Linked DNA regions of Lepisosteus oculatus. The protein of the gene in region 1 purifies or fractionates together with the protein of each later gene. This does not show direct contact. Links are inferred from orthologs where the notes say so. Each region holds a gene or a part of one and is shown in the gene's direction. Other genes may lie near its edges.

Region 1 (11,760 bases):
ACGTAATGAGCTTCATTTTTATAGAAATCTTTTGCAGTATTTGACTATGGTTTTCAATATGTTCTAAAGATCGTATTTTATATTTTAGATATAGAAAACATTTTTTTTTAAATAATGACTTTTGTATTAAATGGATAAATCTGAATGTGTATATCGAACGAAACATCCAGAGGGCACAAAAAAAATCCAATAATGTCCAAAATGGTATTTGAGTATCAAGTGGACACGCGTACATTGTTTGGTCAAATTTAAATAGCTGAATAATCGCGATTCTCTGAAATTCCCAGGAGATATGCACAGAAATATCTTCCTCCCAGATTTTGGTGTTTTTCCTTTGCCCCAAATCAGTCTGGCCTGATACAAGTGCTAGATAAAGCACGGGTCCTAATTAATATATTCACATGTATTGATCCGCTAATTTCTGGGAGGTCTGTGTTATCGAGCAAATAATGTCTTCACCTCGTGTATTAAACATACATATTTATTAGACACCTTTATTATGATTAGTGAACAATTGCTAAATAAACTTTGAAGTGCTAGATTATTTTCAGACAAGATTATACTTACGCACTAATCCCATTCAATAATAAATCAAGATTTATTGTATTTCTTTTTGGGGTTAGGGTTAGTTTAATTTTAGAAAAATGTTTCATGTCTGAAAATGTTTTCAATGTTTCAAAAAATGTTGCTCTGGAGAGCAGCGCCACCCTGTGGCCCTTTTAGGAAGTGCTGTTGGACCTGAATGTAGTGCTGTTGCCGTTGGAAATCATTTGTATGATCTTCCTCACCCCACCTTTCTTTAACGAGGCCTTTTATTTACCTGCTTATTTGTTTAAACACTTTGTTCGGCCGAGTCCTCGGCTTCGACATTTCCCCTGATTCAAACGTGTATTGTTCTGCAAACAGAACTTCTCTCCTTGGCGTGTTTATTTAGAGTTTGCAAGCCTCGTTTCTGTCTAAACAGCACTGAACAGTTCATCGAGTTAGGGAGAATCAGATACAGGTGGCCACGACAATGTATCACACAGACATCGCTTTTCTTTTTCATTCCGCAGAGGTACGACGGGTTACATTTCAAGCTCAAGTTAACACACAACAGAGCGAGAGAAGTTGTGATCCTCACAAATGGATACGGGATCGATTCCAATGACAAATCCCACTCACCCTTAAAAATACCTCTGACAGTCAATCTGAGTCTGTTAGGCTGCGGTTTAGACCTTGGATGTAACACAAGCTGGTGGAAACAGGGGTACCTTAGGACCAAGGTCATGAGCCACTGTCAAAAAGGGTCAGTTGCGATGAACATGAGAATATATTGCAGAGCTACACACCAGTATGCTGGTTGCAATTGACACGGAAACATTTTTAGTATTTACACAATACTAAAGAGTTTATTTAACAAGAGTCTGACATTTGAACCATGCCAGTTACTTAATTCATGCCCAACCCCCCAGACTGGGGACCTATTGTGCATATCTGGAATTAGTTGGGAAAACATTTAGCCAATGCCAGGTACTGGCTTGTCCAGAACCTATGAGAGCAATGAGACAGAGCCACACAAGTGTCTGCAAACTGCTACGAAGCATGTGGGCAAGCAGCTTGTGTTGCCTGAACCATGAACTCTCAGCTCCCTAGCTTGTGACTTTCACAGCTGAGCCCTGCTGATCAGCACTGTTGATGAGAAATGTTGATTAGTAGCATGAATGTATCTCAGTCACGTCTGTTCGAGGAAATGTCCGCGTACCTGCTACAAAACCAGATGGCCATTTCCCTGATAAGAACTTTGTGAATCTGTTGCTACTGTAATTAATTTATCTTTTGATATTCTGCATATACATAGTAAAACCTTATGAGGGAATCATGTAAATCGCTGAAGTCAAACCAATGTTAAAAACAGGATCCTGACACCTGCTTGTCTAGAATGCAAATTAAGGAAGGACACTGGCACCTCCGCCCACAGTCTTGAATGACTCAGATTGTGGCCACCGCATTTCTTTGTTTCTGGTGGTTAAATAAAGGAAAAATAACTTAAAACACAAAGCTTTTTACAACAACTACAAACTTAACTCAAAATGAAAGACACACATTATTGATCTACAATTGTTTACAAAGATCAATTTGAGAATCTATTCTCAATTGTCCTCTCAATTTTCATACGAACAATATAAAGACCAATTTTAATACAAACTAACCAAGATTCTCCGATAACAAAAGAAGCTTCATAGGACAGTCTCAACTCTAAAACCAAAGTGAACTAAATCGAGACAACTCCTCTAAACCAGCTAAGGCAGTCTAGAAATAATTAGCTCTTCCTGATGGCTGCTAAAAGGAAATAAATATACAAACACAAACATTAATAGCTGGAGATAGTAGTAAAGGTGAAACAGCAGTTTCACTGTGGCTGCTGACTTTAAATGTTACAAAGCGGAATTAGTGGTCTGACAGTTCTGCTTTTTAATGTTGTGTAATATCTAGAGCTCATGTATATTCAAATATAACAATTATATTTCTATTCAATATACAATTATGTTTAGATTAAATTCAAAATCCCTGTTTATATATATATATATGAATCTAGGTTTTTCTCAGTCATATACACCACATTGTGATTTTATGGTGTCTAACCTTTATCTAGTCCTCACCAAGCCTTAACAATAGTTTTATCTAATCTCATGTGACAGATAACACACACATTTTACTTTAATGTCATTATTTATTAAACAAAAAACTGCCAACATTCAATATACTTGTGTGAAACACTACGTGCACCTTTACTGGATCCATATCAGGGAGTGCTTCCACCAAAGAAACCTTGTCAGTATGGTATGGAAATAACACACAGCTGTCATGAATGTGTTGTTGTTGAAGCCAGTACCTAGACATCTTTCAAGAAACTGGTGTGACTGCTGAGATTCATGTGATAAATATATTTGCCTAGGAAGGTAAACAGTGAGACAATATCATGAATAAGAAAATAATAAATGTATTGTAAAAATACATTGGACAATATGTATACATGTACTTAATTAATTACAAAAATGCTTCAGAATTTCCTAAGGCTTTTACCAAAAGATACATCAGGGTATCTGCTTTACAGTACATAGCATCATGTCATGATTCAGGAAAGTATTCAAATCTGCACCAAGGAAAGTATTCAATCTCCAACTCAGAGTGTTTTTTTTTTACTATGATCTCACCACAGTCTCTTCATATTCTTGCCTGTGTTTGGGCATTTTTCAGGTATGGAACAACCATTAGCAAATCTTTCTTCTGTCCCACCAAAGCATAGCCAAGTCATGCTTCACATGTGATGCAGACTCATTGCTCGTTATTAAACGATAGAACATAAAACAGGATGAAAAGAGGCCATTCGGGCCATGTAGCCTGTATGGTAATTAGTAATTAATTGATTCAAGGATCTCATCCAGCCAATTCTTAAAGTAAGCCAGAGCATCGGCTTCAACAAAATTGCTGGGTAGCTTGTTCCATACTCCACCAACCAGTTTTGGGACTGACAGTGATCTCAAGGGGGGTGAGACTAAGTTTTGGATACTTTCAGCCTTCAGTAAGAATGCAGGAAATATACTCCATAAGGAAGCTGAAGAGGAAGAACCCGAGTTTTGAAAAAAAAAAACTCCTTTCAAATAAAATGTAGGTAGAAAGGGATTCTGGACATTTTTTCCAACCTCAGAGATCACTTTAAACCAGATTTCATAAAAAAAATATTCTGTGTTCTCTGCTTTCAAAAATGTCATGACAGCACAGTACTTGAGTTCCTCTTTTTTCACATCCTTAATGGTACAACACAAAATGTCTGACTATGAAACACAAAAGTCTTAATTAAGGAAAACGATCAATCTACAGACCAAAGGAGTTTGAGGAGAGTTTGTAGTAAACTATTTTATAGTTTAAATGCAACAGTATGTTCCTCTGTCTTTGACACAAAATGGAAGAAGAGATATAGGCCTGTAATTACAGGACACTCTAGATTCCAAACTGTACCTTTTTAACAAAGCTTTAATGGCAGCCCTTTTAAATACTGTTCATACACAACACAGGAAGTACAGATGTAACCGTGAAATCGACTGTGAAAATTTACACCTATACAACTGCCTTTGTAATTCCTATTGAAATACATACTCTGCTGCTTAAAGCAGTTATCTGACCAAGACAGGTCAGATCTTGGGAAGGTAAGGTTTCCTCATGAAATTCCAATATTACAAATGATGGTAAACATTTACAATGGTTGCAGTTTATAGATGCACTGATTTACCATCTATGTTTTACCACATTATTTAAATATGTTACCAAGACACTGACCTTAAAGTACTTAACAGGTTCTGTTATACATTGTACCGCTAGAGGGCATTATACACTAAATCTAACTACGCAATGGTGTTAAGGGCAACGTTTTATAAACTACTGAGCGTTTAATCTTATCTCAGATTGGGTTTCTGAGAAAATACAATTCCCTGTATGTAAAAAGCATGCTCTGCATATAAATAATGCTGTTTAATTAAGTATTATTTTCTTAATCCTTTATTATCATCTTGATGGCAGTAGATCAGTCATTTAAATACGTGCAATAAAGTTTTTATTTTGACATTTAGTTTTGCAAGCTAATCTTTCTGAGTAGGACTGATCAGCACTGATCAAGGAACTCAGAAGGTGCCGTTTGTTTCCTGTACATATTGTCTTCAACGTTACTGAACAAATAAGTTAAAATATTTTGTCACACCTTTTCTAGGACAGTGACAGAGGTCCCCTAATTTAGACTTTGGAAGCGGAGCCTCACTACAATAATACCGAAATCAATACAGACGTGTACCCCTCGGAAAGAAACGGAGAAGTCAAACTTTAACCTAGCAAAGACATTCAGCCCAAACAGACGTCACCGGCGGAGCTTAACACTCAATTATTGGTCTCCAGTCGGACAAATCAGAATCAGAGATTTCCTACAACGCCCACTGCAGTTTAAGGCCTGGTTTCTGTAAATCAGAGGAGAGATGCGCTATGTTCCTTGGTTTGTCAGGCTATCAGATAAAAAAAGAGCAAAGCTAACATCGATATAATTGCACCACAATTCTGCATTGAGTAATATGTGTAATTGCACACAATAAATCGATAGAAAAAGTGTCTTTCCTGAGATTTTTTTATTTTCACGAGGCTTTCATTAAAACGTAATTCGCGGACAAATGAGACATGTCTTTGCACCAGCCACTCGGCCAGCATGTCGCCAAGTCTTTCTGGACATTGGGCGTTGAGGAGGAATATATCAATATCTCGCACCGCACACTTCACATTCTCCCTCATTTATCTCTCCATCATTCACATGAAACAGGACGGCAGCCCCGCCGCTAAGCCGGCGTCATGTAGGATAAATGTCTTGTTTCTCTTTTTCTCCCGGCGCGTTTTTGAGGCTGATTGGGCCTTCGACATGACAATCACCGCTACGTCCCGCCTCCCGGGGGAATGACCAGGCCCGGCGATTGGCTGTCCTCGGTCGGCGCCGGGCTCCGATTGGCGGATCACGACGTCAGTGAAGCAGCAGCTTGGTCGAGCCCCCTTCAGTAATCGACAATCTGCCACATTGTAATTGAAAGGAGTACAGTGCGCATCCTGCGATTGTTCGCTATTGCAGCAATCGCCACGGACCGGGAGTACAGTTATCCATACTACTACTAATAATACTATCATCACCCAGGGGTGCGAGGAGGCTGCTTCTCAGAGACCAAGGTAAGGGGGCCGTGTTTCTGCGGAAATGCCAACCTGCAAACCGTGAGCTGGGCGGCGAAGCCTAGATCTTGGAAAAGGGGGCTGAGCGGAGCTTGAGACGACGGCTAGTGTTTTGCATGCCTCTGGTGATCAGACAAGGGGGGCAAAAAATTGGGATCGATCCCAATTTTGCTGGGGTTTTGTTTACGAAAAATGAGCGGCCTCACAGCCGATGCGTGGAGGAATGGCACATATTGATTCATGTTCGGGCTCCACATCGAGACTGCGTAATGCCGCTTGAGGCGCCACTGAAGTGTTGCGTCACTTACCTAAACTAAGTCAAGGACGTCTTTGCGCACAGGTCATTCAGAAATCTTGACAAACGTCCCCCCCCAAAAAAAAGAAAACGGGAGTCGTAAATGTCTGTTTTCTTAGACCTGGCCTCAGCCCAGAACAGAAATTGGATCAAATTGATTGGACGGAACCAAAATAGTTCCTCTGACGAAATGGCATTTAGGGTAGGGTGACCATGTTTTGGTTTTCAAAAAAGAGGACGGGGGGATAATCGACACTCGACACATGCCTCCAAAGTAATGCATTTTTCTTACTTTTTCTAATTAAAAAAATCCATTTAAACTATCTTTTTTTAATTATTTAACTTCTTAGTAAACTTTTAAACAGTTGCAGGGTTGCTATTTCTTTTCCTTAATGGCAAACAAGAAACAAAAAACAAAAATACAGTATATTATAGCCATTATAGCCCTATTTTAAACTTTTTTTTTCATTTGAACACAACAAAAGTCTTAACACCAGAGGAAAAAATGAAGACATCACAATTTAGGAGAAGTCTTCATTGGCTGCAAAAAATGATCAGTTTTAACGAAACATTTTGAAATATAATGAAACACGTTAAACATTGTTATTTTTCATGGCCATAAAAACACCCCCCCCCAAACACACAAAAGCCCCTTTCAAGCCACCCTGTGTGTAAGTTCAAAACATCTGCCGGTACTGCATGGAACGAAGGAAAATATGTAGGCTGTGTTTGTTTAGAGTCTGATTAACGAGCAAAACACAATCCCGGACAATTGTTGGAATTGTATAAACCCCGGTCTCAAAAAGTGGACATGTCCGGTGTAAAGAGGACGTCTGGTCACCCTTATTTATGGTCAAATGGTGGATGCAACCCGGTGCATTATCATCACTAGAAGAACCGACTCGTTTACGTTTAATCGTTCGTGGATTGGATTAGTTTTATTTAAAATATCAAGATTGGGAGGATCTACGTTTTTAATACGTTTTAATGGACCAAACGTCTCGGTATTTTTCCCCCCCGAGGTGTAGTTTTGGTTGACATTTTGCCATGGTGGCCGAGTGCTGATAATCTCCGCCCTTCAACAGTTCTCTCAGAAATAATGTTTTTAGTTGATAAATTTATACCGGTGTCGAAACCAATTCAGTGGTCTTTAGGTAATCTGCGGAGCGCTGTGCCTGCTGATTTTCCTTCTAGTTGAGCTCTTAATTACCAGTGCTAATTGATTAATTGATCTGTTTGCTTGTTTAGACTGTTTACTTGTTTTTTTCACTCGGCTCAGAGTACAAGGACACGGTTTTCAGTAGCGTCAGCATACAGACCTTAAAATCAGTCCCCCCTGCAGAGACTGAACAGCTGTGAATGTAAAGTGATCAGTTCATGAGAATCTGACCCAAAAGGTTGGTGCTATATCAAACTGTCCCATGATGAGCTTTTTGTTGTGTCTCGCAGAGGTGATAGATACAAAACACACTTCAGATTAACCACAGAAACTTGGAGACACCAGTTCTCTAGGACCAAGGTTGAAAGTTTCTGTATTTGATGTATGAGATTCAGCCAGTTTGCTCATTTGTACTCAGAGCACGGATTTGCCTGTTTTTAGTTAATGATTATAGAGCATCTATTGTGTTCTCGGAGAGAAAAGGCATTTGAGTTTGCAGTTGAAACAGATTTGGCTGTTTACTGAACCGTCTGTGTTTTATTCCTTCTGCTGCTGTGTTGCTCAAGTAACACAGTGAACGAGTGAAGTTTAGACTTAATCCACAGCGTAGAAACATAGAAACTGATATTCGCGTCACATGTCTAATGTCCTCAAACAGTCCACAAGAAGGGATGATATCCAGCTGGATACTGCTGCACTCCCCTGGAACAAAGCTTTTCAATCTGACTGCTTCAGTAAAAGGCCCAATCGTGCAAATTTCTGCAAATACTAAATCACTTTGTGTAGAGGCATCAGCCAAATGAATAATAAGCGCAGCATAAACGCAAATAGAGCTCGCTTATCTCATGCCCGTTTTTTGTAGCTTGTTTTACCTTCATAACGCGTCGGTCCCAGGTTCTTGTGTGCAGCCTTTGTTTCTCAAGCTTCTTGTTAAAGAAGGGATAGCTCTAAATGGAATCCCACTCCCATAACATCAGTCTGTAGCCAGGGCGTGACGAAGTCTGGTGTACTCCACGAATATCAAAAATATTTCTAAAACCCCACGCAGCATCAGTGGTACTGCAGGTGGCCTTTAAATCTACTGTGTACAGAAGTCAGTCTGCTGCACCTTTCTCTGCTGTGAAGACAAGCTGCGTTGAAAGTAGAGTTGTCTTCAAGGCCTTGCCGATAAGGGAACCACTCGTATGTACCCCAATATTTACGAGCAGAAGCATGTATATGGTTTTATTTTATGAGAATGGTCAGGTCTCATGATGAGAGTAAAGCTGGGATTTACTCAAACCTACAGTACCTTGCTACAAGGTACCTGTGCCAGGCTAGCAACAACCCTGTGGGCCACACGAACAGATTTAAATCTTTGCAGAAAAGTAAGAATTAGAAACCAAACTGTAAATATAACAGTATATAAACTGTCTGATATTTCTTTTCATAATTGAATGCCTATGAAAGAACTTTCCGGGCTTCTTTTTGTAGAAATATAGATGCCATATGTGAGACCTCAACACAGTTATTCCCTTCCAGTCTGAATCTATTCAGAAACAAGTCTCAGGCATTAAACTTTCTTTGAAGGCAGAATTCCTATACAGGTGTGAGTGATGCACTGTTTTCTTTTCTTTTATCAGTAGACTGTTACGGCCGTTGGGTGTGTTAGTGAACTGTGGGAAATTTGGATGATCTGGCACGTGTGGATGATGAGTGATCTTGCAGCAGATGTGTGTGGCTTTCAACCTTGGGTACATTTCTGCCTTCTTCGGCACGGAAATTGTACCACTTCCCGCTGGGCGAGGTTTCTGTAGGGCTGCAGTCAGAGGCTCGTGTGCTTTTCCTGCCAGCCCCCGCCTTCACGGCAGTAGTACGCCGTCGCGGAGGAGCGGTCTTTGATTGTATATAAACAAACGAATCATGTGGGCCTTTAAACCAGTGTGATTCCTTAGAGTCGTCGGTCTTTCCGGGGAGATTACAGCCTGCACTGGCGTTTTTCCCAGTGATTCAGCCGGTGTGCCTGATGGAAAATTCCAGCTGGTGTACGGCCTGCCGGGGGATTTTGATCAATTTTTCATTTAGACCAGCGAATCGTGGCCAGTGAGCATAACTGTCCCCCTTTTGCCTCTCCCTTTTCTCCCCTTTCTTTCAGTGCGCCCTTGAAAGCGTCGCAGGAAGCGCGACACCCGTGGGAGAGCAGAATCGCGGTTTCGCCTTCCGCTCTGTCCCGCGCGGAGCCGAGTGATGTCAGTAGGCGCACTGATCAATCTGCTCAGGCCCGGCGGATTGCAAGTGCGGAGCCGGGCGCTGTTGACGACGTCCAGGCGCCTGCAGGAGGACAGGCATCACTTCCACTGCGTTTCCCCCGCCAGGCTCAGCAATTCCAGGTTCGACCCGGATGGCAGCGGCCGCCCCACCACCTGGGATGCCTTCGGGATCTGGGATAACCGGATCGACGAGCCCATCCTGATGCCCTCCAGCATCAAATACGGCAAGCCCATCCCCAAAGTGAGCGTGTCCAAGGTGGGCTGTGCCTCGCAGATTGGCAAGCGCAGGGAGAATGAGGACCGCTTCCAGGTGTCGCAGATGACCGAGAACGTTCTCTATTTCGCAGTGTATGATGGGCATGGGGGGCCAGTGGCTGCCGACTTCTGCAACAAGTTCATGGAGAAATACATCCAGTAGGTCTCCTACGCTGACGCGCCTTCTTGATTGTTTTTTTTTGTCCCCTCCTTCATTTAATTTTGGTGTCCTCGTACGTTTCCTCTTCAACGTGAATCAGCAGGAGCAGATGTGTCGCTGATTGCTGTTCTAGTCCTCCCCGTCGCGTGAAACCTGAGCTTTGTTAGTGGGCCTGAAGGAAGGTTCCTGAGAGATGGTTAAAAGAGGAAAAGCAATACAGTGTAGGTCGCACCACTTTTTCCTATAATGAGCATCAGAGTCAAAGTGAAGCCCAGTTCCAGGCAGCTGTCTTGTTTGGAATTTGTCTTGCAGTATGTGTGTTACTATTCTACACAGACACAGTGTGTGTGAGAGTGTGGTACTGCTCCTCACAGACACAGTGTGTGTGAGAGTGTGGTACTGCTCCTCACAGACACAGTGTGTGTGAGAGTGTGGTACTGCTCCTCACAGACACAGTGTGTGTGAGAGTGTGGTACTGCTCCTCACAGACACAATGTGTGTGAGTTTTGTCTTGCTTGTATTGCTCTTACATGCAGTATTTTACTGTGTTCTCATCCCACTGGTGTAGGTGTAGGTGGTGTACTCCCATAGAGTTGTGCAATGCGCTTGGACAGTTTCATTTCTGACTGGTAGAAAAGATTAGTTCAGTCTTAGGGCACATGACCATTCCACCTGAGATTTTAGACATTTTTCTTAACCAGTACTTATATATATATATTCCAAGATAATCTAGAAAGACAGGGCAATGCAAAACATTGTAGAAGAGATTTAAGATGTGTGTGGCTCAGGCTAGGGCTCAGAGATTGGTGAACGGATTCACTCCATGCTTGTGCAGGCTGTGTGAGAGGAATGGAACAGTATTCTACAAGAAAGGGCAACCTGCTGCCAGAAGCATTCACTGCATATGCACAGTTTGTATTGCTTGCAACAGTGTGCATATAGACTCCTATCCTGTCATTTCCACAGAAAGACTCCTGGCTGATGATAAATATTAAACAGACCAACGAATTAACCTGTGGCACGTCTGTTCAATAAAATGTCAATGCAGTGCAATGTTTTTGCCATTTTCTTCATAGTAACTATGTGAATTTGCTGCAGTTATAAGTGATGTTTCTTTCGAAGTTCAGTATATAATGAATTTCCATCCTTTGTTCTTATTTTCCATACTCTCCATGTTGTACGTCTATTCCATTAATAGCCGTAGAAACTGGAGTATGCCATTAACATAGTCAGCACTTCTATATGTTGGAAATAAACAGGAAAATGTCTGATATAGAAATACACGGTTCTCTATTTTACAGCCTTCTGGGCTGGCTCAGAATGTGAATCTTGGTGTGATGGATACGCCTGGAATAAAAACTGCTCCTCGCACATTTGTTGGGATATTTTATTTACTTGTGCATGAACCTTTGCCATTTTAGAGATCTGGTAGCAGAAGAGGAGAATCTGGAGGTGGTTTTGGCCAAAGCATTCCTGGAAATTGATAAAGCCCTGGCAAGACACGTGCACCTCTCTGCTGATGGTATGTATGAAGAAAAGCATCTTGCTACTGTGACGAATGAGTTGGTAAACCCACAGTTAGGAAAGAAATGTTGTGTCTTATAGTTTGGTGGTTTATATACACATGCAGTAATCTGATATATGAATGAGAATTTATCTGGTAGTTTGCAAGGGGTTTTCTGGCTGCTGTGAACTAAAGGCTCTATGTAGCCTTTAAAACCTGATTCAGGCCACCGTCATTTCATTCAACAGTTTACATTGCTGCAAAAATATCCTCTTTAGTAGTTTACAAAAATAATGTTCTAACAAATCTTAAACTGCTGATGTCATACAGCAAAGCAAACTTGTATTCACAGTCTGCAGTACGAGCAGACATTGGCAGTACAACTGTGTTGCGCTATGTCTG
Region 2 (12,694 bases), on another chromosome or scaffold:
AAGAAGTAAAATGGACAGTGGCAGGTGTTGTATAAATAGGTGAAATCATTTTGTTTCTGAGTTCTTAAAAGCCATTGCTAAATGCTGTTATTACAATTTGAAACATCGTGGAATTTGTAGTTGGGGGGCTAATGGGTTTAAAACATCACATTTCATTGAGTTGTCCATGAATATACTTAATGTTTCAAGTCACTTGCTGTTCTGTGAGTTACTTGTGACCGTGCAGGACCAAGTAATGTTCTAGAAAGTAATACTGGAGATGTTTTGTAATGTTAATTATTAATAATATACACAGGCTATCAAAAGTATTTAGCCCCTTTGGAATTTTGTGCATTGTTACAATATAGAACCATAATGTATTAAATTGGGAGTTTTTGCTATTGATTTGAAAGAAAACACTCTACAGATTATACTACAGATTCTCCTAAGTTAATTATAAAATAGAAAATGACTGAGTATTCACCCCTTTGAGACAATATTTGGTAGAGGCATCCTACCAACTGACACTCATAAGTCTTTTTGAATACGTTTCTACTGGCTTTTTACATTGCAGTTTTTGTCTGTTCTTGTTTGTAAAATTGCTGAAACTCTCTCAGGTTGGATGGGAACTGATGAACAGTAATTTTCAACTCCTGCCAATGACTTTTGATTGGGTTGAGGTCCAGGCTTTGGCTGTATGTTTTGGGCCGTTGTGCTTCTGGATGATGAAGCTTCTTCCCAGTTCCATGTGTGTTGCAGGCTGCAGTAGGCTTTCCTGCAGGATTTCTCTGTACTCTCCTCCTGTCTTCACAACTCTTCCAGGCCCTGATATAGCGAAGCTTCCCCATAACGTAATACTGCCACCATCATGCTTCACAGTAGGGATGCTGCTATGCTTGCGCCAAACATAGTTTACCGTTGAGGTCAAGAAGATTTATTTTGGTCTTGTTAGGCCATAGAATTTTCTCAGTTTCTCCCTCTTGCCTTCTGGCAAAGTAATCAAGGTTTGATGGGAGTTTTTTGTCACTTTCCCATGAAGCTGAAAGTTGTGTAGCACCCAGGCACTTGTCATATGCCCAGTTAATCCCATCTCAGCCATGAAAGACTGTAATTCCTTTAAAGTCGTGACATGGCTCTTGGTGGCCTCTCCGACTAGTGCTCTTCTCACCTGGATACTCAGTTTTTGAGGACACCCCGTTTTTCAGTTTCACAGTTGTACCCTATTTTCTGCATTTGGTATAGTGGTCTTTGCTGTGCTTTGGGGGATATGTACTGCCTTGGAAATTTTCTTGTATCCTTCCCCTGCTTGGTGCTTTTCAATAATCCTATCCCAAAACTATCCCAGTTCTTCTTTGACTGTTCCTTTGTCTTAATGATGTACAGTAGTTTTTGTTGGGTGTTGTACTATTCAACTTTGGGACCTCCCAGTGATAGGTGTATATTTACCCTGAGTTCATGTGAAACAGGTGGGCTCTATTCAACAAATTGTGACTTCTAAAGACACTTGGTTGGACCTGAGCCTATTTAAGTGTATCATAGCAAAGGTGACAAATATTTATGCAATAACTTATGTTCTGTTTTATATTTATAGAATATATTTCTGAAAATATAATTTTTTTCACTTTATTTTGACATTATTGTCAATTATTGTCAATCAATGGCAAATAATCCCATATAAATATATTGTGATTCCTTGTTGTAACACTGTAAGATATAACATCCGGGGGGGTGAATACTTTTGATAGCCACTGTATCACTTGGTATAGGTCACCCTTCCGTAATATCTCAAAAAACTGTATTCTAGAAATTGCTTAAGCCTGGTGCTTTGGATTAGAGCACTGAAACAATCTCTGGAGGCCAATTATGGAAACAAATAATGGACAGATCACATGCTTTCAATACCCTGAGATTTGTAAAAGTGAAATGAATGCATGAAATTCACTTGATTAGACAAACTATAGTTATAAGTCGTATAACTTAAATAGGGTGACTTATTTATGCAGGCAATTTAAAATCTATATTTTAGTCCAAATCTGGACCTTCTGCAATGGATGAAAGCATTTCTTTTTATGAGTTTGGCTGTGCTATTTGTGTATCTAATTACTAGAAACGATGCACAAAATTAACCTTGCTTCATTTTCTACAGTTCAGTTCAACAGTCAAGAACTGAAACAAATCTTCAGCAGTCTTGCAGCTTTAAATTCACCAAACAGCATTTCAAGAGCTGCCAATGTAAGTATTAATGCAAGTTTTAATGACATTTTCAGCTTATACTGACGTCTCAATGGAAGGTGTAAATTAGTTTATCAGTGACATAAAGGACTATAGTATTGTTGACTGTTGGCTTAAAAAGGTTCTAATGGTGTAATTGATATCTCTGTGTAAACTGTTGATTCAAAGGGACTCCGTAGTGATGCAGTACTTTATTAAAAATGACATGCATTGTGAGAAAGTCTCTCACAGATGTAATTAGTCTAGGAGATACATCTGTCTTCAGGGTAAGAGCAAGGACACAGTTCCCAGGAAAACGTGCTGTGTGTTAGTCCAAGAAGAGCAGACTACAGTAGGCTCATTGTATATAACAGTAATTAACCCACGAACAGTTCTTGAGCTTAAAAGTCACACCCCTGAAATGTACATAATGCAATTTTATGGTTAACTTTGCCTCTCCTATATGTAATATAAAACCTGTATGTCAGGGTATTGCAATTAACCTAATAACCTTTTTTTTCTTTTAGAACTTGGCAAAGATGTGCAGCACTGGCAAAAAATTTGACCCGTCTGAATGCGTGAAACCTTCTACTAACTCCTCCTGAGACCAGGATGGCTGTGACCGTTGCGGAAACTTATGAACATTTCTTACATCTTTTCTGTCAGTCAATCATTGCTTTTTTAAATTACACTTCTCAGAACCCTCAACAGGGATCTTATCAGCAGCTCCTCGTTGTTTAGATTTCTGACTACTGCTCTTGGATGTTTCCGTAAAGGTTTTTATTCTCAGTTATGGTGTATTTCTCACATGTGAACACTTTGCTGTACAGTTGTTGGAGATCTACACCCAGAAAGAGCTGGTGTAGGGTTATAAACCATTATAAAACAAGATGTACTCTAATTGACAAACATCCTACATAATCATATTTGGGATATTTAGCTACTTCATCTCACTCGCCATTTTTTGTAAATGCATATGTTAAATAAAACAATGTTCTTTGTAAGCCGCCTGTTATTTTTTCAGGGGGTACCAATTTATACCAGTTTTCCATGTGAAAGCATTTGGCTCAGTTCTTGTATAATTGTGCAAATTGGATAGAAAGCTCAATATAATCATCTTAAGTGTTTATTAATAGTGTATTGTAAGCCTAAATGTACCTTCATAAATGCATTTTAATCCAGTATTGTTCATTAGCAGTATTGTTTAATGGAACAAGTAAAGGTTTATTCCATGCTAAAAAGAGAAAAAAGGAAACAATGTTTTGGCTGAAGAGCCTTCTTCGGGTATGAGGATGTTCTGTAAAATACCGTATTATCATACCAGTTCATAGGTTTGTCACGTTAGAAAACTCAACCACATTTATGCAAATGTGATGCAATTCATGAGATACCAAACATTCTCAAATTAATATGGTAGATAGAATTAGTAAATAAGAAAAGATAAGATGGTCACTAGAGTCCTAATGTCTTAAAACAGTGGACTAACCAGCAGTCATTCCATGAGTAACTAATTCAGAAATCTAGTAAACTGAAAATCGAGATCAGATTGGGTTTCAGGACCACACAAATGGATAAGCAATGACAGACCTTGTTCGTACATGTCTGAGGTCATGGTGTACTGAAGGAGCCTTCAGCTTTTTAGGACCCTGGAAAGCTGTGAAAAAGCTTAGTGTGATGAACATTTTAAATAAATGGATCTACAAAGAAGGTAAATCTATAGAATGGAGAGCAGGGAGTTAAACTGTAAGGACTCTACAGTTAAGTACTTGTATCTAAATGACAGACATGTTCATAAAGATAAATGTAGGAACACAAACTGCTGCATCAGTATATGACTGATGTGAATGATTGCTTGCATTTATATAGCTCTTTTCATTCCAAAAGGCTTCACATGTAAGGGGATCTACTGCATCCATCACTGAATTGCAAAACACTCATCTGGGTATTGCATGACAGCCTGTTTGTGCCAGCAGCCACACTATACAGCAAATAAGGTGGAAATGTGTGACATTATTTTACCAATTGAATTAAGAAGGAAATTTGGTCAGGCTGTGTAAGCCCAAAATGGAATCCCCACTCTGTTTATTTAGAGAATCTTGCTTAACTAAGCAAATAAACTTCTTTTAACAAGCAACAGCAGTAACAGTTTCAAACAGAGCATATACAAATTTGCCACAAGCTCAAGGATATCTAGTCAAATATCCACTCCTGGACGAGTGAAAATCAGATTTTATAGCAGTGTGATTTCCAGATCTTTACTGGAAGCTTGTGCTACTATATGGTACGTTTAGGGAAAACATAACCAAATTAATGAAGAACAAGAAAACAGACTGAGTTATTACGACACATCTTCAAAAATGGATACCTCATTCATGAAATGAGGTTATTGGACACTGGATTAAATTAAGGGGAGAGAGTGGAGCTGTGGATTTATTTAAACTACCTTCTGAAATCTACCACGTAGTGTTTGCCACTCAAGTTTTCTTTTCAGGGGTAAAAGGTTGCATTCTATTTAGCATCAGTTAAGAGGGCAGACTAACTTGTGGAGAACTAAATATTTTAAGAAAATTAGTTTACGTATCCTTATGAAGATAAGGTTTAAGGTTATCACTGTAAAGGATCTAATTGGAAAGGCTAGATGCAATATATTTTGGCTCTAAGATCTCATTTCAATTGTAAATATCAGTTATGTTTTTATGTCTTGTCCGTAGTTCTGTTTAATAAATACTGTACATGTCTTTTAAGCTATTGCTTGTTTATTTCTCCACCATTCAATAAAAATGTTAAGCCTTTTTTTATTAAATTGCTTGTACTGATTCTGGTCCCAGGACCTAGATTTTGAAAAGTCTCATGGTGATATTCTACATAAAATATTAATTTCTAAACTGATAGCTGTAGCCATCATTGAAACTGACTGAGAACAGGTCAACAAACAGCAGTACAGATAAGTGATAAATGTTCAGAGCAGTCTTATTAATAGAATACCCCAGAGATGTGTTTTAGCACCACCGATGCATATCAATGATGTACTGTATCCTGGTATAGAGCAGAATCGTGGTGTGACACTACTGCTGCCTCCCAACTCTTTCAGAGTTCCTATTTCAGTTCTGGAATGAGATGCCTTTTATATTCAGTTGACAGCTCCTTGTGTTTTTTTCCTCTTTCCAATGATATGCTGTTTAGGTTGAGATACACTGCTATCACTATCTGCTATGTAGGGGTGTAACCCTGGTGTCCTGGCCAAATTTCCCATTGGCCCTTACCAATCATGGCCTCCTAATAATCCCCATCTCTGAATTGGCTTCATCACTCTGCTCTCCTCCCCACAGAGCTGGTGTGTGGTGAGCGTTCTGGTGAACAATGGCTGCAGGTGCATCATCCAGGTGGGGCTGCACAATGGTGGTGGTGGAGGGGAGTCCCCATTACCTGTAAAGCACTTTGAGTGCTATATAAGTGTAAGCAATTATTATTATTAATATCACTTCCAGAATGCTGACTCACGTTACCATTAGTATGCAACTTTCTGATGATGGGTGGATTCTGGTATAGATAAAAAAAAACTAGGAGCAGCAAGGGGGTTCAAAATATTAAAATACAGAATATGACTTTATAAAGTTGTCAGGTGATGTAATGTACACAAGTGGAGGCACACGGGTAGGAAAAAAACATCCACATAAAAATGGTAAGCAACTTAAAAGATATTAAAGATATAATGATGTGTTTCAGAAAGACATTGGTGCCGTATACTCAGTGCAAGGAAGAGCGTCAGAGGTGCATTCGCAAGCTTAAAGGCATGTCCTGCACTCACGGGTTAACAACTCAATACATTTAAGTTTCGAACAGAAAATACTATAATGGGGACCTGAATGCATTTAATGTTAGAACCTCACATGCTGCTGATAAGGATCCCTAGAGACGAGCCTTTTTAGGTACTTTTGTTTGGAACCTGAGTTCAAAATCCTTAAAAGTGAAACACAAAGTGGAAATCGAGAAGTAAAATTAAATCTGAGAACAGGGGTTGTTACTTTGCATAAAGGTGACAAATGGCAGGCATCGTGGGCCAGCAGGTTTATTCTGACACTTCTATTACAACTAGTAATAATCCCACCAATACTGTATATCCAATAGATGTATCAAAACCATGAAACACTGGCGATGTCTACTGCCGCACTTCCGCTTGGGTCCAGGGTAACCTTTCGTCCGTTGCATAGATACGCTGGAGCTTGAAAATGACGTTCCATCAGCATTCCCGTGAACCGGTCATCCACGTGTGGGGAGAAAAACCTCCGCCCTCCTTTTCCGCCAACCAGAGCGCAGTATGCCTGGTCCCGCCCTCGGAGGTTGTTTCTCTTCCTGGTTCCAACAACAATGGCGGCCGTGGCTCGGTTCTTGCAGAGAAGTGCAGGCTCTTGCAAAGCCACTATCCACAATATCAACAGTGTTTTGCTCTGCCGATTTGGGGGTGTGTCGCTTAAACTGGTCCCCAGTTGTGATTCCCATTTGAAAATACAGAAACGGCATGCTGCCCACTTCACTTTTCAGGCTGACCCAACACCAACTCAGCATGGTAAGACTAGTTGAGGCGCCCTTGCTCTATTTACATAGAGGACAGACTGTTGGACGCACTAAGTGTTAATGCTATATTCTTTAGGTGGATGCGTTTTAACAGAAGTCAGATATTATTTCTCGTATTATGCAATTTCTTCGAAATAAAACATGCTCGGCTTCAAAGTAATTGTGTCTTAAAATCTATATAGCTCCTGGGAATGACATATCCTAAAGGTTTTAATATTAATTTATGTTTTTTTAAATAAAAATTGCCATTGAGGTCCCATTTTTCACATGATATTGACTTTTTAAACGCTAGCAAGTTGTGAAGCTCCACTAAACAAAGTGAAGTTTCTTTTTAGTGGACAGATATGGAACCTGAAGATTATACCTGAAATTTTACTCGAGAAGACGGTTAAGTAGATAAATATATTTGAAGTACAGAATTCTTGATTTTACTACGCTTTATTTTGCGAAATATTTTTGTTGTGCTGTATTCTCAATCAATCTGATCAATCTGGCATTCAAAACCTCAGCTTCTCTTGAGTTTTAAAAAGGTAAAAAAAATGTTGATCTAAATTATTCCTGTTTTGAAGCAAAAGTAAATGTTGTGGCAATTAAATACTGCACGAGAAGTGTAATGTGTCTTTTTTAAGAACATGAATGACAGCAAATCTTAGTTTTTGCTAGATTTCCTCTGCGGAAATAGCTTATTGATGAATTCATTTAAGTCCCTGAATGTGATCATTAAACATGGTGATTATTCTGAAAAATGTCCTGTTAATTTGGGCAAAGACAATCAGGTATTTTTGATTATTTCTAATGTTATTGTTTTATATTCTTAATTCTAGGTCAGACCCAAAAAATGAATTTTTTCCAATCAATAACGAGTGCCTTGGACAACACCCTTGCCAATGACCCCACTGCAGGTATTGTACAGGATGTGACGGCTCATTTTGCTGAGTTTGCATTAAACTGCTGACTTGCAGATTACCAAGTTAAAGAATGAAACCTAATCAAAATGCTGTATACTTATAAAATGTGCTTTTGTTGTGAACTGAGCTGTATGAAACATGACGTCATTTAACTTTCCCTAAGGCCTGAATCTTAAAAAAGTTTAACTGCTGTTTGTCTCTTTAGTGGTGTATTACTTTGTTTTAGCTTCGACTGGCAAAGTGCACTACTAGAATTCAGTTTTGCAATGATGTTGTGACCGCACAGTACTTAACATATTTGGGTGATTTATGGTACACAACTATTTGTCCTTCATTTAGCATTAGAACTGAATTGATATTTAGCACCTTTGTGTTTTGATCTAGTATTAAAAAAAAGCTGCCTTAGGAATGCATTTACCCCTTACCAATTATAAAACAATCAAATAGAATATTTAAAGCTGTGCAGAAATTTTGAATTTAGGAAGCAAGTCCGCCTAAGATCATAAATTTACAGGAGAGATATTGATTAAAATGTTTCTGCTTTTTATCTCAGCAATTCTATATTCAATCTGTATTAAGCATGACATACAGATAACCAGCGCACAAGTAATTAGATTTTGTTTATAAAAATAGGTAACTTTTGTTATGATTATATTTTTGTCCTAAAACCTACTTCATATTACTACTATGTGGGGACTAGTAAAATAGTTGTAATTTTACACACAGCAGGCATGGTAGCCTAGTATGAATTGTTCAAATGGTCATAATTAAAAAGCAGGACTGGGCCTGAAATGCGACACAAATAGTCGTGAATATTTATTTTTTGTCTCTACTGTGCAATGTGGTTTGACATTTTTGCAGCTTCAACCAATTTGCAAGAATGGTTGCTGATACACGCTGGTCATTATTTTTTTCTGAACCAACAAGATAGACTTATGTTATTACACGATTTGATTTAGAAATTGTAACCTTGGATTAAGATATCTTGTAAACAATTAAAAAATAATATTTGGACAAAAAAGTAGCTAAATATAAGGGAAAATGTGAACTTTGTATTCCAACTACATTCTTGGGACCAGTCCTTCATGAAAGACTGTTTTGCCCCAGTATCATATTTGATGGTGGGGAGTGTACTCACAACCTTTGGAAAATTTGCCAATAAAAGGTTGCCTTTATCACAAGCTAAGTTATCCTGTAGCTTCTATCCAGCATGTTTTGATTATTGTTTAGCACTCTAAGACTTCAATTTGATCGTATAGAATTATAGCCACACCTCATTTTATGTTTGTTTTTATCTGACATGACAGCTTAATTTTACTGACTGTGACAGTGCTTTAAGTCTTAGCAGGGTATTCTGAATGACTGCTCTTTCAGTCATGCTGGATTTTAGCTGGCTGATGAGAAACGGAGTTGGTGCATGTACTCCATTCTCCATAGTGTCTTAATTTGTTCATTGACTGTCTTAATTGATGTGGGTCTGGAGTCCCTGTGAAATGACTATAAGACTGCAAACAGATGATATTTTGTGTATTTTAGATCCTTAAGCATTTTGTGCAAGTGATGAAATTATAGCTCTGTGGTATCAATTGTCCCTCTTTCTAGTCCGGTAATCGTTGCATAGCTGTTGTTAAATGTTACAGCTGTTTGATGTCACATAGTTAAATAAAGTGGCACAGACTGTGTTGAGAAAACCAAGATTCTGTTGTTTAGTGACTTCATCGTCAGAGGCTATGTCAATGATTATTTTTTAAATAGGCACTGGCAACAGTTTTAATTTATCCAGAAGCGTGTGGCTGACATGAAAAGAAAAAAAAAGTTATGCCATCTCATAGTTATGAGAAAATGAGTATTTCTCAGTAGTCCATTATTGCGTACTTTATGTGATAATCACACGATAGCCCACGATTCCCTTGATGTCAGCGATGCAGTTCCAGAAATGTAAGACCTAGTCCAAAACAAAATTCATTGCTTATGTTTGCAGATTTCTAGTGGGAGTAGGAATAGTTGAATGTTCCAAGAGCACATTAATTCATGATTTTACTTTCAGGTAGGGGTTGTTCCTTCTATTGCTTGAGATAAGCTATCATTTGCTTAAGATATCATTAGCTATTGTATATAGAAAATTACTTCAAAGAGCAGTTTGGTCTAGAGGTTGTGAGGATTTATATAACCATAACCATCACAGTTATCTCACTCAGGCAAAATAAAATTGGATGTTTCCCAAATGCTCCTCTTTACAAATTCCTTTGCCACTTAGCAATGCTTAATTACTTTTAAAATCACTGATGAAAAGGGTCGTTTTTCTGACAGGAATAGTTTGATGTTTCTTTCTCCAGTTTGGTTTATAAGATAGACAATGTTTTGTCAAATTAAATGACAGTTCTATATTGTTTATGTTTACAGTGTGAATACTCTGCTACTGCGTTTTTATTTCTTAGTTACACATTGAAAGGGTATTGCCATTTTGTAGATTTATTCATAAAATAAAATGTGCTATTTATGAACAGAAATCACTTTGGATCTTGTCTGAATGCAGGTGGATGGTAACCACTAAAAGCCTTATGGGCTTATCGGTTCAGGTTTTGTGGAGGGTCTCTAAACACTAAGAATCAAATAAGTGTGGCAGAAGGTTTACTTTGTTGCTGAATTTTATGTAAATTTACAATTTTGCCTACTTTACTACTCTCTACCATACAGTTCTAATGTGTGTTCATTTTTTTGCTTTTCAGTCATCTTTGGAGAAGATGTTGCTTTTGGAGGTGTCTTCAGATGCACTGTTGGTTTGCGAGATAAATACGGTATGTATTTTCGAAGTAAGATGCTGCAATTTGTGTCATCTAATTTCTAGTGCTTTTTTTGACAGTGAATGTACTGTATAAACTATAAACCAAAGTATACAAAAACTATTTTGCACTGCACTCTGGTTTATTTTTTTGATGCTTTAAGTTCAAGACTTGTGGCAGTTTGAGACAGTTGTGTCTCTATGAAGTTGGTTTTGAGATGTGTGCCATTTTTCCTTCAGCTGGTAAAATTTAATTGTATATAGATCAACAAACGCTGTTTCTTTCTTCTATTTGTACAGTAGTGATTACATGATCATTTTCTCCTAGATATACTGTATTTTTAAAAATCAATACATTTCTCACTGTATCCACACCCCATCAAGAAAATAGTACCCATTATCTCAACAACTGCATTTCTGAAAAATGAGTTGTTGAGTTTTATGACCTTATGATGGTTTTCTGAAAGTATGTGTTGAGCCTATTCATAATTGGATCACTTATTCCCCAGATAGTTTCAGATACATAAGTGGTAATTGCAGTGGCAATTACGACCCTGTTATTTGAGAACCCCTGATCTGGAATTGAACCCAGGGCACCAGTGCTTACCACTGCATCACCCTGTAACCTTTCTTGTGTTCTTAGATTTATTTTATGTCTTCTTTATGTAGCCTTTTTTATTCAGGAATGTTTAAGCAACAGTTATTGTCCTAAAAATTAAGTTATTACATATCATATATATTTATATTATTAAGATAAGATCACTTTATTAGCCATATACAATTTCTTGCATTAGGAATTTGTTTTTTTTGCATACCACAGTTTATTCTCCATGAGACACACAGGCACACAGATGGGGAGAGAAGCTTGGGGTCAGAGCGCAGGGTCAGCCATTTATACAGCACCCCTGGAGCACCTGGGGTTAAGGGCCTTGCTCAGGGGCCCAACAGAGTAGGATTCCTCTGCTGGCCACGGGATTTGAACCGGCAACCTCCCAGCTCCTTAGCCAAAGCGCCTATTGTGGTTTTAACATGATCAACCGGGATCATCAATCATGGAAACAGACAAAACGTTCAGTTCACACATCCGTTGTAAATGTATGCAAAATATAGTGACAGTTTTGAGTTATATGCTTCCTTAAAAACTGCATAATCTCAAATGTGTCAAATTATGAAGTTAGATTATACACTTTTTCCTGTGAGTTTTCAAGCACGTTAAACTCACTAGATTGCCTTGATGGTTACATCAAACAAATTAAATTCCATACGCTGTTCACTGAAACAGCAGACAGTTGAATAGTCTTTTATTTGATCATTCATCTTTAGTGTTATTAATATGTGTTTCTTTTTACATGTATCTAAGCGCATATTAAATTGGAGCTTTTATTTTAATAATGAAATAAAATTTATAGTGCTGATATAGCAGGTGAAGAAAGAAATGAAGACAACTTAACCACAAAATACTGCTACTGTATCTTGAGACTATTTTTGATTTTCAAGCCAGAACTAAGGTTTCAATAAAAGTCTCAATTTTAATTTTTCAAGACACTTCATAGTATCTTGGATGATCAATTTAACATGCATTTGGCATTAGTCACAGCTTTGGTTTCTTAACTGCATGGTTTACAGAATATTAATATGAACAAGGTTTGGTAAGTTGGCACAGATTGAACTAAAGTTAATAGGGAAGTTTTTTTTTTCTTTTAATGTTAATTCACACATCTTTGATTGATTTTGCTCAGGCTTTCTTTATTACAAAGAATTCCTTCTCACTAAGTGTGTAGTCTGAGCTGTGCTACTTATTTTGTAGACTTGCTACTGTAATATAAAGCAAATAAATGTATAACATTGTGAGAAACTGCAATAAAAATATGCCAATAATGTCAAAAACTGTGCAGAATTATGCACTTGGTCCTAAAGAACCTTGATGTTTGAACAGTGTTTCTAGCCTTTTTTTGTCCAGTTGTTACCCAGTTGCCCTAGCTCATTAAAATCGCTAAATGTTGAAACTGGCACTAGGTGGCAGAGCATCACTGTGTTTTCAGTGCTGCAGTATGGGGAAAGTGCAGATTGTGACAAAGGCCTATAAGTGTCTGAGGGGAGAAAGGATTGCTCTTAAAGAATTTTTAGGATTGAGGGTTTCTTAATGGCAACACTGTTTCAGGTAATGAATGATGAATGAAGATTAAAAGCAAGATATCTGTTGTATGAGACTTGTGCTCTTATAGGATGCATGTTTTGG

What was found.
Region 2: the proteins of ppm1kb (region 1) and bckdhb purify together in Homo sapiens (affinity purification with mass spectrometry; 3 studies listed by BioGRID and IntAct, counting the BioPlex papers as one, with this or other methods). This does not show direct contact. The link is inferred for Lepisosteus oculatus from reciprocal best matches to the Homo sapiens genes PPM1K and BCKDHB.

The regions. Positions count from the first base shown.
Region 1 is NC_090696.1:72,158,517-72,170,276, forward strand, and holds the start of ppm1kb (protein phosphatase Mn(2+)-dependent 1K), read left to right. Parts: upstream 1-5,549; 5' UTR 5,550-5,736; intron 5,737-9,324; 5' UTR 9,325-9,416; coding exon 9,417-9,853; intron 9,854-11,275; coding exon 11,276-11,376; intron 11,377-11,760. UniProt on the Homo sapiens protein: Serine/threonine-protein phosphatase component of macronutrients metabolism.
Region 2 is NC_090697.1:30,785,252-30,797,945, forward strand, and holds the start of bckdhb (2-oxoisovalerate dehydrogenase subunit beta, mitochondrial), read left to right. Parts: upstream 1-6,524; 5' UTR 6,525-6,558; coding exon 6,559-6,757; intron 6,758-7,589; coding exon 7,590-7,667; intron 7,668-10,402; coding exon 10,403-10,471; intron 10,472-12,694. Other genes in the region: dual specificity protein kinase Ttk, read left to right, coding at 2,126-2,211, 2,718-2,795. UniProt on the Homo sapiens protein: Together with BCKDHA forms the heterotetrameric E1 subunit of the mitochondrial branched-chain alpha-ketoacid dehydrogenase (BCKD) complex.